Lepisosteus oculatus: one gene and its partner. The protein of the gene in region 2 binds, or shares a complex with, the protein of the main gene of each other region. Links are inferred from orthologs where the notes say so. Each region holds a gene or a part of one and is shown on either strand. Other genes may lie near its edges. The genes, in order: usp46 and wdr20a.

Region 1 (7,267 bases), on a different chromosome or scaffold from region 2:
GCCATCAAGCGACAGACAGAAGTTTAATACTTTATACAGTTACAAATAAAACATGTAACGGCACAGTACAATTTTAACTTCTTTTATTCACAAATAAATTGTGAATAAACCATCAAATTGCCTGAAACATCCCCATCTACTCCCAACTTGAATACAGAACAGATCTGAGCTCTGGACACACTAGACGCATGACATCCTCAGTTCCAGAGTAAATGTGTTCCTCACGACAGGATCCGAACCAGAGACGGCACCTCTGCTTCGGGTTTAAGAGAGGAGTGCTGTTCCCCCCTGTGTTGGCCACCCAAGACACTGACAGCCTTAAATGGGCAAAGCTTTAAGGGGATACAAAACCATTAAGACTGCATACCTTCCTGTCGAACCCGGAGCCACGACTACACCGCGATGGCTGGAGGACAGCATCGCCCGTCAGGGGGCTGCAATTGAAAAGACAACCTGTCAATCAGTCAGTCTCACTCTCATACACAGCACCTTTCAACACAGGGCCCTGGTGAGGCTTGTCGAGACGCGTCCACAGTCACAACCGCGAACCAGCGGGGGACCGTTCCATTGCGGCATTCAGAAACAAAAGACGAACATGGTGCATCGATCCAGTTTAAAAAAATAAGCCTCCCACAGAGAACTACTACAGCATACAAAGCAAGCACCACCGCTATGTGCACGCCAGCACTAGAATAAGAAAACGCCTGGTGTGTCCTGACGGTACCCGTGAGACCGCGCGTGTGAATCTAACCGTCTCCAGTGTCACCCCTGCATGCCCGCTCTGCGGTCCACCAGTGCAACGCCTCCAGGTCATCACTTCGACTGGGACAGTATCGACATCGGAGCTCTGACACTCAGCTCCCGCAGGGCCGGGGCTCCTGGCTTCTGGTCCAAAGTGGGCAGCGAGTGGCTGACCATTTCCCTCATCTTACAGGCGATCACACAGATCTTCCACGTGATCGAGGGCTACCGCTACCTGTAACCGCCCCACGCCAGCCTGGTTAGAAGCACTACAGTGAGGTCACCAATTAAAATAACTTAGACCCACCCTGGAGCAGATCGCAGCTGGAACACGAATCCAAAGAAAACAGGACCCTGCAGGACCCCCGATTCAGACGACACCCGAGAGGGGTCGCTCGTCACGCAACAGACCAAGGCGATCAGGACCTACCTAGGCGATCAGGACTCGGGGCAGAGAGGGCACTCATCTGTCCTCCCGTGTCGGACACGGAACGCCGCAGGCCCGCCCCCAGCTGTGGAAACACAAAAACGAGATTTTTTTCCTCCTTCTTTAAAGGAGAAAGACGCACCGACATCAAGGCGCTTCCGCGTGGAGCCCGGACCGGGTATCCCAGACCTGCTGGTGTGAAGAGCACAGTGCTGCGGGCTCCAAACGGAGGAAGAAAGGGCCGCATTTATATTTATCCGCCCCTTTCCTGGCTGGGAGGGGAAACCAGCCACAGCTCACAATGCAAACGCAGTTATCACCGAAAGCAGTTCAAGTAGGGAGCTGCGTCAGCATGCGTGAGCTGCAAAGGAACGAGTAAAAGTTTATTCCTGCTGAAAAGAGAAGGAAAACACTAAGTTTTTTTTTTCTTCTCTATTCAGCATAGAATAAAATTTTACTTGTTCCATTACCAGAGAAATACTAGCAGACGGTTCGTTCGACAAAGCTACGCAAGACGGAAACGTGGGCAAACCCGTCAGGAAAAGGCGATAACAAAACGAAACAGCAAAATCCGCATGCCACGTGGTCGCTGAAAAACCCAACTCCCCGTACAGCCTCAGCACACAACCGCGCCGCGACCTCCCCAAGCACTGCAAAGTGCATTATTACTGCGTCGCAATTCCGCTAAGCAAATTTTAATCACGTATAAAGGCTACACTACTGCTTCCTTCTACCTCTCTGAACTACACGGTTTGTCAACTACCAGGGGTAGACAGCCGGAGGCCTGTGCAGCACAAACCGCCCCCCCAGAAAACAAAGGATCCCCCAATAACTAACCATCCAGCTGATGAATAATAACGCGGGACATTGCACTCGCGTTCCCCCCACAGAAACGCTAGCTGCTGCGTCCCTCTGCGCCATTTCATTTCACGATTTCTCCAAATCTGCACAACGCCCGCACAGCCCGCGCGTCCGTCCACCGCGCGGCCCAGGAGGAAGAGGAGGAGCGCCGGTGCATGCTGGGAAACTAGCGAGCCCCGGAGCCCGGCCTCCTTCGTTAAAGGCGCAGCTCTGCACGGCACTGGCTCGACACAGCAGGCCATCGCCAGAACAGTTTGAGCGGGTGGGCAATTGGTTTGAACCGGGGGGGTGGGTTTGAGCGTCTATTTGAGACTCTACAGACGATGGTTACCTAATCAACGCCACAATATAGGAGGCACAGTCAAAAGTATTTCAGGTGGGACAGTAACTAAGAGGGAGGCCATTCAGGAGTGAAAACAGGGGGCGTTTTTAACACAAATGTTCATGGGGGGTCTGGAACACACTACCCAGCAGAGCTGCTGAAGAAGATTCCCTGGGATCTTTCAAAATATGGTGGGATGAGTTCTTGAATTCATTGAGCAGCTTCCAGCCTGATGAGCAAGCAGGGTCAAACAGTCTGACTCGTCTTCTCTCTGACATGACATACTCTGCAGTGCAGAACATACTGTACATTCACAGATACACACTGGAGCAAAAACTTTCGAAAAACACTTCATTTTTATTGTCATCTGATGGTTTAGACCTGAATGTTTTGTAGATGTTCCATTTAGGATGAGCAAAGCTCAAAGCTTCCCAGCTTCTTTGAAGGGAAATTGAGTTCTGTTTCATTTCAGCGAACCGGGGAATGTGACTGTGTAAATGTAACACAACTTGAAAGGAGCCAGAGGAGGTATCCTCCGTCCCTGGTGGGATGAGCTGTACTAGCTAATAAATCGCACGCAGCTTTGTATTCCCAACAAGCACCTCCCAGATGAGGTCTTGCAGGCTGAGTTTACTGAGTTTCTTATAAACCAAATTCAAAAGCAAACTAAAAAAAGCATTTCCATGGAAGCCCTCTTGGGAAACAATAGCCCACTCTTCTTAAGAAACCACAACCGAAGACCCATTAATCGTTTAATAAAACATTGTAGCCTCTTTACGAAGCTGGCAGACAGTTGTACAGCACCATCTATTTTAAGCATCATTAAAAACAATGAGACTTCCTCGGAACGCTGTCTCCACACAGATCCCACAGAGATCCCACAGAACTCCAAATGTCACCAACTGGCTTGATTATGGGAGATAGTGCTTCCACTGTAAACACTCTGTTTACCAGAAAAACGTTGTTACATTTTAGAAGTCTTTTTTTTGGCAAGCTTTCACAGAGCTGAAGAAACAATTGGTCAGAACTGGAAGTGCTCTGTTACAGTTGTAACGCAACGGGGGTTCAGGCGGGCACCCTTGCCGCATTAGGTCGGCCCCCCACCGTCGGGGGGCTCGAACCCGGGACTCCCGCGTCGCTCAGCAGGGACCCAGCTCGGTGAGCCGAAGAGAGATCTCTCCCCAGCCCAGGGGCTGTGGTCCTGCTGTCACAGGGAAGGGCGGTGACGTCACCTGCTCTGGTAAGCCGGCTCTTACACAGTACCTGTCGGCCGTAAGCGTTACACAGTGTTACACGTTCGCATACCCATAGATGACAACACGTGCTTCTTGCTGATGCTCTACCCTGGCTGTGACCGCAGCTCCATGGGTACTTCTAGAGGAAAGGTCTGTGTCCCCTGCTGTTGCCACACGCTAGCGTTCTACCAGAAGGACGTACGCCCCCTGACACCCTGGTTCACAGATGCTCCTCCCTAACGTCCAACAGGAATCACACCGTGCTGTGCTTCTCAGCCTGTACAGCTTCTCTAAATGTTGTTGGAACAGGTCATTTGTTTTGGTCAAAGGTTCGTACTGTTAACAGGTGCAATCACTTGGTGAAGGAGGTGTAGACTTCCACAGAATAACAGACCTCAGTAACAGACATGACTTGTCCTGTTTCCTTCGAGTGCTACACCTTTGCGAGCCTGCTGTGAGGGGATACCTACAATATCTGTTATTCGGGGCAAGCAGTCCGAGCCATGTGCCATTAACACAACAGGAAGAAAAAAACACTATACAGACTACTCCCAGCTTCAGTGCGCTCTATTTCATAGCCAAGGAAAGAGCACTGAACAGCGTGCGGAGACAAGGCCGAGCGATACTCTTAAGTTTGTCCTGAGAAAAATATAAGGACACTATTCAGTGAAGCGGTGCAACAGTGCAGCTCTGCTCAGGAACAGCAGAGCGTGTTTAACGCGGTGTGTGGAGTGGGATCAGTCCTGACAGCTGCCTTCTCTTTAAACTGCTCCAGCCTCTGTCGCCTCGCCCCCCTCCCCAGGCTCCTGGCTGCGGCGCTGGCCGGCTGATTGGCCGCAGCCCGGCTCCGGGATCCCCGCACGGCCATCCGATTAGCCCAGCCGGTCTGTCTCTCAGCCGGCCCCGCCGCCGCCGCCGCGCTCCGAGCCGGTTCGGTACCTACCCACCTCGGCGAGCGGGAGGGGGCGTGTGGCTACTTCTCCCTGCGACTCGCCGGTCCCGGCAACCCGACGCAGGCCGTCCTGTTCGCGTCCGCCGTCCGAGCGCAGCGAGGGGGCATCACCTGGCGGAGACATGCACCGAGGCGGGCGCTAGGGCGCCCCGCTGCCCTCTCGTCCCCTGCCCGGGCGGCGTGCACGCATCCGCCGGCGCAGGTCCGAGCCCGGTGGCCGGGGGGCGGTGTGTATATTGCGCCGGGGCAAGGCGGCGTAGCTCCCTGGCTCCTGGAGCTGCCGGCGGAAGACCTTTTCGGCATCGTCCAGCCTCCGTAAATCATGTTTATTTTATAAAGATGGCGCTGAGGGGGGACCCTGTAAACTAAATGACTGTCAGAAATATCGCCTCCATTTGTAATATGGTAAGTAAAGCGCTCATGCACAGGATGGCCCTCGGTGTGCGATGGTGACAGGCGGGCAGCGATCGGGGGGTACGGGGGGCTCTCTCGCCGCCGGTGCTCCCGGTGCGAGTTGCCTTAGGTCCAGCGCTGGCCGGGGCTCAGACCGGGCGCCTGGCAGGGATGCGCAGCTCTAACCGAGGGCACAAGGGCACGGCTGCCGGCCGGGGCGTCACTCAGTGGCGGGCGGGTGGATGGTTTTACTGCGGTTTCCTGCGACTTTTGCAATCGTGCGGGCTGAGATTTACCTTTTCTTTTGCCGTTGACTGTGTATATACAGTCTGTTTTCTCCCCCCGAGGATAATGCGCATCCTTCGCGTACATATTTTGAAACTTCTCCGTAGATCTGGCCGGGCAAAGAAAAACTAGGCTAATCCGCGATTAAATGGTCCCTGTTGTTCCCGACAGTTCTGAAAGACTTACACCGAGGTCAACTTTTGATAGCGTGTGGTGTGGAGCCCAGGCACCGCGCTCATTTTCCCCTCTGTCCTGAAAGTGTGTAAAATACATGATTCACAGTGCCTGTCACTGATTCCCCAAGACGAGTCTTGGGAAAACATCTGCTAATTGGAAACTCATTTTAACTGCCTCTCCTGAGACGTAAAATATTTATGATGATAACAAGCACGCTAGCTTGCAGGTTTAGTAAGTTGTGGCGAATTATGAGATAAAGTTTTTCTCGTTGTGTTCTTTTTTTCATAAAGAGCATTAAAGAAAAACCGGGACAGTTCCAATTACTTTTTTCAGCAACCTTAGACATTATTGAACATGTTCTTGCAGTGTGATGTTTAGTTCCAGTATGGAAATAATGACAGGTTCTATATGTTGAATTTGAAGGAGAAAATTATCGATACATTGCACTATAACCCCAGAACCTTCTGTCCTGATCTCAGCACAGCTCAGAAGCTCAGCAAGGCCGGGCCAGGTCTGCAGGGGGGCCACTCTGGGAAACCAGTTTGCTGTTGTAAATGGTGTTGATGGACCAGTAGGAGGCACTCTTCCCTCTGGTTACAAATTCCAAAACCATTGCAACAATGAGGTGACCAGCACACTGTTCAGCAGGAGGTGCTGTACTTCAGATTAGTTGTTAAACTGAGGTCCCTACGTCTTGGTCTCCTGTAAATCTCCTTTGTTATTGCCTGAAGAGACTGTCAAAGGATATTTGGGTAGTACTGAGAAAACTAAATGAATCTGACTTTTGCTGCAGTGTTCCTCCGAGTGGCGGTATCTGTTTTCAGCTGCACCTGCAGCTCAGCGCTCTTGAATGCAGCTGTCAGGTCGCTGCGAGGCTTGAAGTTTGAAGTTAAGGAGCTGAGATCCGCCTGTCAGCTCGATCTGTGTTTTCTTACAGGGCACCAATGCCTCTGCTCTGGAAAAAGACATTGGTCTGGAGCAGTTTCCAATCAATGAACACTACTTCGGCTTGGTCAATGTAAGTAACATTTCAATACTTATTTAATTATGCATCTTCTCCATTCATATTGCTTCGTTCTCCAGTCGGAAACTGGCACCCTGTTGGAGGAGCAGGCATTGGTGTCGAAGGGTCTTAGTCATCAAATATGGTTCTCCTAGATGAAGAGTGTACTGAAGGGGTTGGAAAGTCATTTAACCTTTGAATTGAACTGCGCATTAAAAAAGTAAAAAACTACAATCAGCAGGCATTCGCCTGGCACTAATGGCCCCTGTAGTAAAGGCCTCTGGAATTGCAGGAACAGTTGAGGCCCCGGATAAGCGGCTCTCCTGCAGAGGGTTCTGGGAGTCTTGCACCCAGCAGGCTCTGCGCAGAGCTTCCCCAGGCCTCTGGCACACGTGTCTTTTTTAAACTAGACGAGCTTCTCCCGCGGAGCAGGAGACTCGTTCTCCCCCGGGGAAGGGCAGGCGTGTAATTGAGAAACCCCCTGTCTTCCTCCTTCTCGCCTGTAGTTCGGCAACACGTGCTACTGCAACTCGGTGCTGCAGGCGCTGTTCTTCTGCCGACCGTTCCGCGAGAACGTGCTGTCCTACAGAGCCCAGCAGAAGAAGAAGGAGAACCTGCTCACCTGCCTGGCCGACCTCTTCCACAGCATCGCCACCCAGAAGAAGAAAGTGGGCGTCATCCCCCCCAAGAAGTTCATCTCCCGGCTGCGCAAGGAAAACGGTGAGAGCCTCTGGGGGCGCTGCGTGGCGGCTTCGACGAGGGCCGGTGCGTTTTTACAGAGCCCTCCTGGGACACGCGTGACAACACTGAGATCACCACACGTTTAGGTTGCTTTCTCCTTTTCCCCCCAGAAGCAGTCTTGCGTTGTCCA
Region 2 (7,990 bases):
TCCATGGGCTGGCTTGGCACACTGTTCTTCACTTCTTCTGGCATCTGGTTCAACACAATTGGCCGACAATTGAGCAATAATGTGAGAGAATCCAGTTTTTAAATATGAACTATTAAAAGCTACACAAAATATTCTAAAAACTTTTTTGAGCATACTAGTTTAGATGCCGTCTGGACATGGGGAAATGTCATTTTTATAAACAAAACCATACACTCTGTATTGCTGGAACCAGTTAAAATCAATTATAACGTCTGTGCAGATCCTGGGTTTCGACACAAATTTTTAGTAAAGAATTAAATGCATTTATACATTTAACTTGTCTTCCTCTGCTAATATTCAGTTAATTTCCCTAAGGCTCTTTATTCTGCCAAATTCTGTCAAACATAATAGAGGAACGTATAAATTAATACCACACTTGTAAGCTACTGTACCCTTCTTTGGCACTCAGTACACAATTTCAGAGCAGACTTGCAGTTTTTCTATTTTTCAGGCATGTTTTTTGATTTTGTTATTTTTTGCATCGAGGATTTAACATTAAATAAACCCAGATTTATTTTTCTTGTGAAACGAGGATGAACTTCCCCGGTTCACACTGCAGGCCCCCATTGTAATCAGCTCCTCTTTGCTGAGCTGCCTAGCAGTCCGCTGTCCCAGCTACAGTACAGCGCGCCTGGCCACACGAGCTGCTCTGCCATGTGCCCTGTCTGCTCACACTGCAAAACCCTCCGCCATTTCAGAACTGACCACACCGGAGAACTACAGGGACCTGGAGAAATTCACCCGCCTCATTCATTTAAGCCCCAAGGCGCGAGGATTTCCCGAATACTTCAAAAATGTAAAATTATCCCGTAATTCCTCCTTCACCCCCGCCCCCCGGCATATGTGTAGTCTTTTACTCACCGTGCTGGTTGCTTTGCAGTGAGCTGCGTTACTGTGTGTGGTTCTCTCTTCTTCTCGTCTTGCTTGTGTGTTTTCCAAAAACTGAGCTCCCTGAGCCTTAAGCTCCTTTTTATACCTAGGGGTGACTTTCCAGAAGCTCTCATTCAGAAACTACCAGAAGGAATGCCCACTGGGGCGCGGACCTAAAGAAAGTAACAGTGATAGGGGCACTTTTTGCAGCTGTCCTGGTCTTCCCTTTTAGGGATGCAGAGTTGCAACAGGGCCCCGCCAATCACCCCTGCACCACCGGGCCCTGGCCAGAGAGCAAGGCCTGCCCAGCGCAGCAGCTGTCTGTGAACCTCACCACCACAGCTGAGGCCAAGACCCGCTCCTTCACATGTAAAAGATAAAAACCTGGGACCGGACGGATCCTCCGGCCTTCTTTATCCCAACCCGACTGTCCATCACACCACACAACCGTCAACGTGCTCCCAAAGAAGCATACTCCTGTCTATTGTGCACGGCAAAAAAGGAAGCACTAGCATTCATATTCTCAGTATACATCAGATTAATAGATTCACATGCGTAGGATGAGGCACATTATACAACACCCAACCCCTGAACCTTAGCTGTCTTACATAAGCAAAGCATAAAATAATGTTTTTTTTTTTTTAACCCATGAGAACTGAAAACAGCTTTGAATCTCCCAGGATATACAGGATGTTACTATGGTCTGTGTAGATATTCCAGGAGTGGCACGTGTTTTTGCTCGTCTGTGATATTACATCAATGTACAGTATGTTTTGTGGGACTAGGTTTGTAATATTGTGATATTAATACGATGCTGTTTACATTTGTAGGATAACCAGAGAAGCAGTGCTAGGAGGATCTGAAGAATAGTCTTTAGCACTGATAGGCAGAATGATCAGGGAAATTATTTGGGACAGGTAGAGAAAAACGTCGTTCAATCATTGCTATGATTAAGATGTATACGAAAATACGGAGGCATAGACATAGATCTTAATTGCAATGCTCCTTTGCTTTCTGCACCTTTCCTGTACTGCAACTGACCGTTCATTCATTCATCCAGACTTTTTCATTTGCCTCAGGATAAGAATTGTGTGATAGTCGGTTGTTTGTGCAGTTTTCTAGTGCACGTCGCATGTGTTTCGTGTTTTTATTTCAGTGAAAATCCGTAAAAAAAAAACTGACTGCGGAAATGCAATTATGGCAATGCACAAATTCGTTTATCCGTATTTTGTCAGGTAATCTCTAGAAAGATCTCGAAGTGTGCTGAACCCCAGCTTGCGCAATTGATTAAGCATCGCAATGTCAGAGCGAAGGTAGTCCATATGAGTTTCTGTAACCTTCAACGAGAACATGCTGGAAGTTCACGCCAGCTCTTCCTGGTAGGAGGGCCCAGCTGTCAAGCATGCTAGACGGAGGAGGGCCAGCGACAGTCTTGGAATTTCTTGTTTTGATTCAGGACTGTGAAAGTTAACCCGGGATTCTAGAAAGACGCGAGGAGAGATGTTTGTAGAAAAAAAAATCTCACCTTTTCATTCTAGAAAGCTCTATATGTAGGATTGGATCTGCAGGGCTTTTTAGGATTTTTTTTTTCCTTCAAGAAAGGTCGTCCTCACCAATCACTGAAGACTTCAGCGCGGCCCTCATCGACCATGTGACTCTTGACGCCGGGCGCTTGCAGTCACTTCATCGTTGTCTTACATATTACTCGTTCATCGGGCAGGCACTTGGAAGTGTTTTTTTTTTCCTTTCGGTTCACAAAAAGACATACAAAAAAAACCCAATTGTTTCTGCTCGTTCTCCTTACAAACAGCTCCCAGTTTTTGGATTGTGCAGAAGGGGTCATCGGATTTTGCATGAAAACGTTTACGTAAATTAAAGAAGGTACTAGTAAGGTTCTGCACAGGGATAAAATGTGAGGACTCACCCAGTGTTACAAAGTGTGCGATCTATCCTCTATAGCTGTTCAGATCTATAATATCAATTCCTAGTTGGACTCTGGAAACGGAAAGCGCACTGTTGGCTAAATTTCATATTAGCGGCATAATTCGAAGGGTAAGAAAATGCGGTAATTAAAAGGTAAAAAAAAGATGGGGTTTTAGTAAGCTTTTTGACCAACTTTTATAATGTAAACGTTTTTGTTTCTGCACTGTTTTCTAAAATGCTGATAAAATGCTGTTTTTGTTTACTCGTACCTTTGTCTTTATTATTTTATTAAACTTAGCTAGGAAAAAGATATAAGATCTTATTTTTGTCTAGACAAATGTTTAGACACGTTGTAATTTTTTTTTTCTATTAACTATACCAATACTTTTGATAGATACGTTAGGTCCCAAATGTACTTTAATTTAATGTACAGTACATGCTCTTATCAGTTTAGGAAAAGGTCGTTAATATGCAGTTCTGCTCTTAAAAGTAATGCTCTTTAAAAATAGTCAGGACAACAGGATAACGGGGAAAACGTTATCGTCACTGCATTTTTAAAGGCGTGGGACACAAACATTTTCAGGTTTTCCCTAGCATCATGAAATATTTGATCTCTGCCACCCTTTAACATGAATTCGCCTCATGAATCTAATATAATAAAGTTCAATGCGTGTATCTTCGACTTATTTTATTCGAGCTTTACGGTCTCACGTTTTGGTCGTGATGTTGTCAACCTTGGTTGGCCACTAGGAGGCGCCATCGGTTCGCTTTTTGACGCAATCTGCACCCGTTATCGCACTAAACTGTACCACACGCCAAAATAACAAGAGTACAGCAACACAACTTCATTACAAGAGAAAACAAACGTATAAAATGAGCGCTTATTAACCTGTTTTGAGGTCATATGGGGGTTGTTGCGTGTGATTATCCACAGCAGGTCAATATCAGCAGAGACGTGGAAATTTGGAAGTCAAAGTCCATAGCAGAGCATAGTGATTCATCCGGCCCGAGCTCATCCTAGTTACCTTAGTGTTAAGCGGACTAGGACCATGTGACTAACCCCCAGCCGAAGATGGGACATAGGTTCATCGCAGGCATTACCCCCTATGGGAACTATGGGTAAGGTACCTGGCTGACGGGTACATTAGTGTCTGCAGCGGTGACTCGAACCCGCAACCTGTCAGTTATGAATCCAGCGGCTCGTTCACTTCTTTACGCTGTTCCCCTTCAAAAATGGTTTATTTGTTTTATTTGAGAGCCCAGGGGCGTTGATGCCGTTGAACGGGATATAAGCAATCAGGCCTGCACTCCCGATGTCTTCCCTCACGTTGCCGCCGTACATGTAGTGTTAAAGAATAAAGAAGTTCAACAGTGTCAAGTCCTGTCTCTTGTACATAAACCTGACGAGAAACATATCAAAGACTGGGATGCGAAATCGACTATCCTCACTCGAGATCGGATCATTTCTTTAAGATCTGCGCACTGTCTGGATGTTCAGTGAAGGTTTTCCCTCATAATACATTTAATTAATTTGACCCTTGTTTTGGTAGTGGAGCAAGGCACGGTTCTCTCCCTACGTGCCATAACATATTATTGTTATTGTTATAGTTTTATTTCATTTTTTATGGATGGACAATCGCGTTGTTTCATTTTGAAAGACTGGTATGCTGGAGACTATACCAATAAGCTATATGTTAATGTTAAAAGCAAATAATAACAAATAAAAAATACCGTGAGTCGTACATAGATCTATATTATATGCGTACACATGTGAATACAGTGTTTTATAACCAATACATAATGCATTTTTACCCGATAACGTGTTAGCAGATAGCACGTTTCCAGCCTTGTAACGTGTGAAAGACGTCGTCATCAGAAACTGTGAATATTTTGAAACTCTCATGCAAGTTTCTCTTTTAATTGACCCTTTGTGGGTGATGCCCTTGACAGCACTGCGGTGTGAGCGCTGACCAGCGATGGCCTCCGGGCGCAGTCCACCTCCGCTCTTACCTTGACGAGCCCTGTGACCCGCACTCCACATGCTATTTTGCAATTAAGGAAGAAGCACGTGAATTCCTGGATCAGCTGACGAACCAGCGCCATGCGAGTCGGCTCCGCGAGCAGCAGTACGCATGCTCCGTGTGTAAGATCCGGGCTTGGGGCAGGATGAATGCTAATTTTCAAGATGGCGGCGGAGGGAGGAGGGAAGGAGATGAACGAAATTAAAACTCAGTTCACCACCCGGGAAGGCGTCTACAAACTCCTCACTCACTCCGAATATAGCCGCCCCAACAGGGTGCCTTTCAATTCCCAGGGCTCTAACCCCGTCAAAGTCTCCTTCGTCAACGTCAACGACCAGTCTGGTAACGGCGACAGAATCTGTTTCAATGTGGGCCGGGAGCTATACTTTTATATCTACAAAGGCGTCAGAAAGGTAAACAGGACGTTACGTTCTCCAAGCCAACGGCTCTTATAGCATTAATGTTTGCTTTTAAAGTAGAGAAGTAATGGGGTATAATGCGGCTGACGCAACCAAAGTGACACCTACCTCCAGTTTGCTTTTCGCCTTTCTTGTTAAACAGTTGTGGTATGCACTGAGCTGACAGCTGAAAAAGGCCCTGTTTCACCTGCTTTGGAATGTGCATCTAGCGTCCGTCATGGTCATATATAGACGAAGTGGTGCACAAATGTGTCTAAACTTGCGTGCGTGAACTTCACGGTGTCTGTGCTTCAATCGTTCGGGACGTGACGTGCGGCGACAGTCGGGTCGTGTGACAGATCTGCTCAGTTAGCTTGTGTGTGAGGTGCCACGCAAAGCAATGGATGTGTCTCCATTTGGTTACTTGTTTCTCATTTTCTCGGGGTTGGTGTTTTATCCGTAGTTGATCTCACTTTCCAAGGCGACCCTGTCTTGCGGAGGCGGTACGCGAAGCAGAACTATATGGTAACTTAGTACGCCTAGCGTGCGAGCTGTTTTGTGTATTGCATGAATTTGCCGTGACCGACACGCAGGTCTCTCTGGTTGTGACTAGGACAGAGGCGTAAGAGGAGACGTTAATGATCTGAATTCAATGTGTGAAATCATGCGTAAGGTGGGCGTATTGTAAACTGTTAAACACTTTCAGCCTGGATGAGCGGAGTCGCTGTTCGACGCAGTATGTAATTTCGGGTGTCAAGAGTACTGCTTGATGATTATTATGTGGCTTAAGTGCCCTATCAGACAACCTTTCGTTTCTTCAGCAGTTTGGAAACCCTTCGTTGAGGTCGGTATTGAAAATGTCTGCTCTGATCTCTGTAGAAGGCTACAGATTTGATAGAAAATCACACTGTTTTCCCACACCGTGAATGTACTTGGGGGTTATGGTAACTCTGGGAACACAGGTAATTTGAATGTCGAAGGATTAAAGCCACGCCTTATGTTGGAAAGTCATGCTGGACGTTCACCGTGCCCGTATACCCAATAAAGCTGGCATTGCTCAGCAAGTTTGCAGTGTCATTGGAGTATGCGGGAATGTTTCACTTTTGAGAGTTGAGCGTAATACATTTATGTAGAGGAGGGTTGGAAGAGTACTGCTGAAAGGGTATTGTAATTTTAAAAAAAAAATACTTCAGGTAATAACCCCAGATATTTAAAGACAGTCTGTCATATCTGTTGATTGAGATTTGTTGAGAACACTGCGGTAGTTCTCACATGTTGAGAAAAGGTTCAAATTAAAGTGCTTCCTGAAAATGTCTGGTTTGATTAAAATGGGAATACTACGGCATTACATTTCACTGAACAGCTTAGTATTTAATTGGAAACCTGTGCCAGGCTGTGTACTATATCCTGCTCTGTCCTGAAGTTGATTTGAATGCTGTGTTCTTGAGTAATGTGCCTCAAGGCTTTCAGTAATACATTCCAGAGCTGACACTATCCCATTACGTGCCTTATCCAAATTTCCTATATCATCCCGTTTTTCATCACAATTGTAAAGTCTGGGCTCTGAAAATACTGTTCTAAAGCTGATGGTGTTCTATCTGCTTGTTCCTTCTTTGCTCATGGGTTTATGATGTATTTTCTATGTACCTGGAATCACTTCTTGGTGGCACAGTATAGACAACTGTAGATGCTTGATTTACCCTTGAGTTCCTAATTGTCAAGAGTCCGAATGTCTATCTGGGTGAATACATCAGGGTTTTCTCTTATCTTTAGTCAGTACATAGTACATATTTCATTCATATGTACATGTATAGCTAGACGATGTTTTGCATTGTAGTGTTTGTCATCCATCACAATGCCTATGACTCCCTTATTGTAGGACACTTAGGACTCAAACACATTCTCAGAGTGTGGAGATTTTGCCACTGGGTGTTGGGGGTTCTTCATGGAAAAACTTGTCAAATGCTTTGTAGTCTTGGGAAGTGAAGTCTATGCTGGTCTCTTTGCATGCAGACAAAACTTTATGTGCAAGTTTCTTTGCAAGTAATCTGACGCATGTCTAGAGAAGTGACTTTACTAGTGCCTCCCTCAGTAGCAAAACTGAAATCTATTACGATTTGTCTTGACGCTATGTCCGCTTAATAATGCTAATATATTTTACAGTTAAGAATTAATAAAAAAACTGTACAAAGAAGTCTATGCTTAAAATGTACATATTAATTTGCATGTATTTAACTGCATATGTTGCTCATGCAGTTACTGTTTAAAGTACCAACTCTTCTCGTTAGACAGATGGACTTAATTCTCTTGCAAGAAAGCACATTTGCAGATCTCAGTGGAACCTTTTTTATCTAAGTGAAAATGCTGTTTTTCCTCTTGGATGGTCTTATTAAAACTATAAGAATGAGGAAGGATTTAGAGCTATATGAACTCTTCAGTTTACCAGTGTGACTGATAGTGCAGATGACCAGGTGGGTGAAAGTCCTCTGCCTGCACATGGAGTGCACATTTAGCAAAGAGACAGAGGATACATGCTGGCCAGGCACTCACTTAAATCTGGGCGAAACATGTGGTTAGTAATAGTAGTGCAGTATGTCCTTTACAGAACTAACTAGGATTGTAACTTTTCAGCTTTAAATTTCTCTCAAAGCCATATTTCAAGTTGCCTTTTGATCCATGGATCTGTGATTCATTTTCGTGCTTTAGTTTTTGTTGAAAGAGTTGCAGGGATATCTCTTG

The links.
Region 1: the proteins of wdr20a (region 2) and usp46 are in contact, whole or in part, in a crystal structure (PDB 6JLQ), measured with the Homo sapiens proteins. The link is inferred for Lepisosteus oculatus from reciprocal best matches to the Homo sapiens genes WDR20 and USP46. Residues at the interface, in NP_653175.2 of Homo sapiens: Asn41, Ser42, Gly44, Arg151, Lys259, Tyr261, Phe262, Gly263, Glu282, Asp283, Asp284, Leu285, His301, Lys304, Ser305, Trp306, Gln374, Asp375, Thr376, Leu509, Arg516, Met517, His533, Glu534, Arg535; in NP_073743.2 of Homo sapiens: Asn205, Thr206, Ser207, Thr209, His210, Arg213, Arg273, Val275, Phe276, Pro277, Glu279, Leu280, Arg281, Phe283, Asp293, Met295, Gln338, Glu342, Tyr344, Thr347, Ser348.

The regions. Positions count from the first base shown.
Region 1 is NC_090696.1:78,123,263-78,130,529, reverse strand, and holds the start of usp46 (ubiquitin carboxyl-terminal hydrolase 46), read left to right. Parts: upstream 1-4,252; 5' UTR 4,253-4,907; coding exon 4,908-4,943; intron 4,944-6,330; coding exon 6,331-6,411; intron 6,412-6,902; coding exon 6,903-7,116; intron 7,117-7,267. Other genes in the region: uncharacterized protein, read right to left, coding at 368-434, 2,006-2,271. UniProt on the Homo sapiens protein: Deubiquitinating enzyme that plays a role in behavior, possibly by regulating GABA action. May act by mediating the deubiquitination of GAD1/GAD67.
Region 2 is NC_090703.1:11,287,903-11,295,892, reverse strand, and holds the start of wdr20a (WD repeat-containing protein 20), read left to right. Parts: upstream 1-4,966; 5' UTR 4,967-5,002; coding exon 5,003-5,266; intron 5,267-7,990. Other genes in the region: hsp90aa1.1 (heat shock protein HSP 90-alpha 1), read right to left, coding at 1-44. UniProt on the Homo sapiens protein: Regulator of deubiquitinating complexes. Activates deubiquitinating activity of complexes containing USP12. Anchors at the base of the ubiquitin-contacting loop of USP12 and remotely modulates the catalytic center of the enzyme.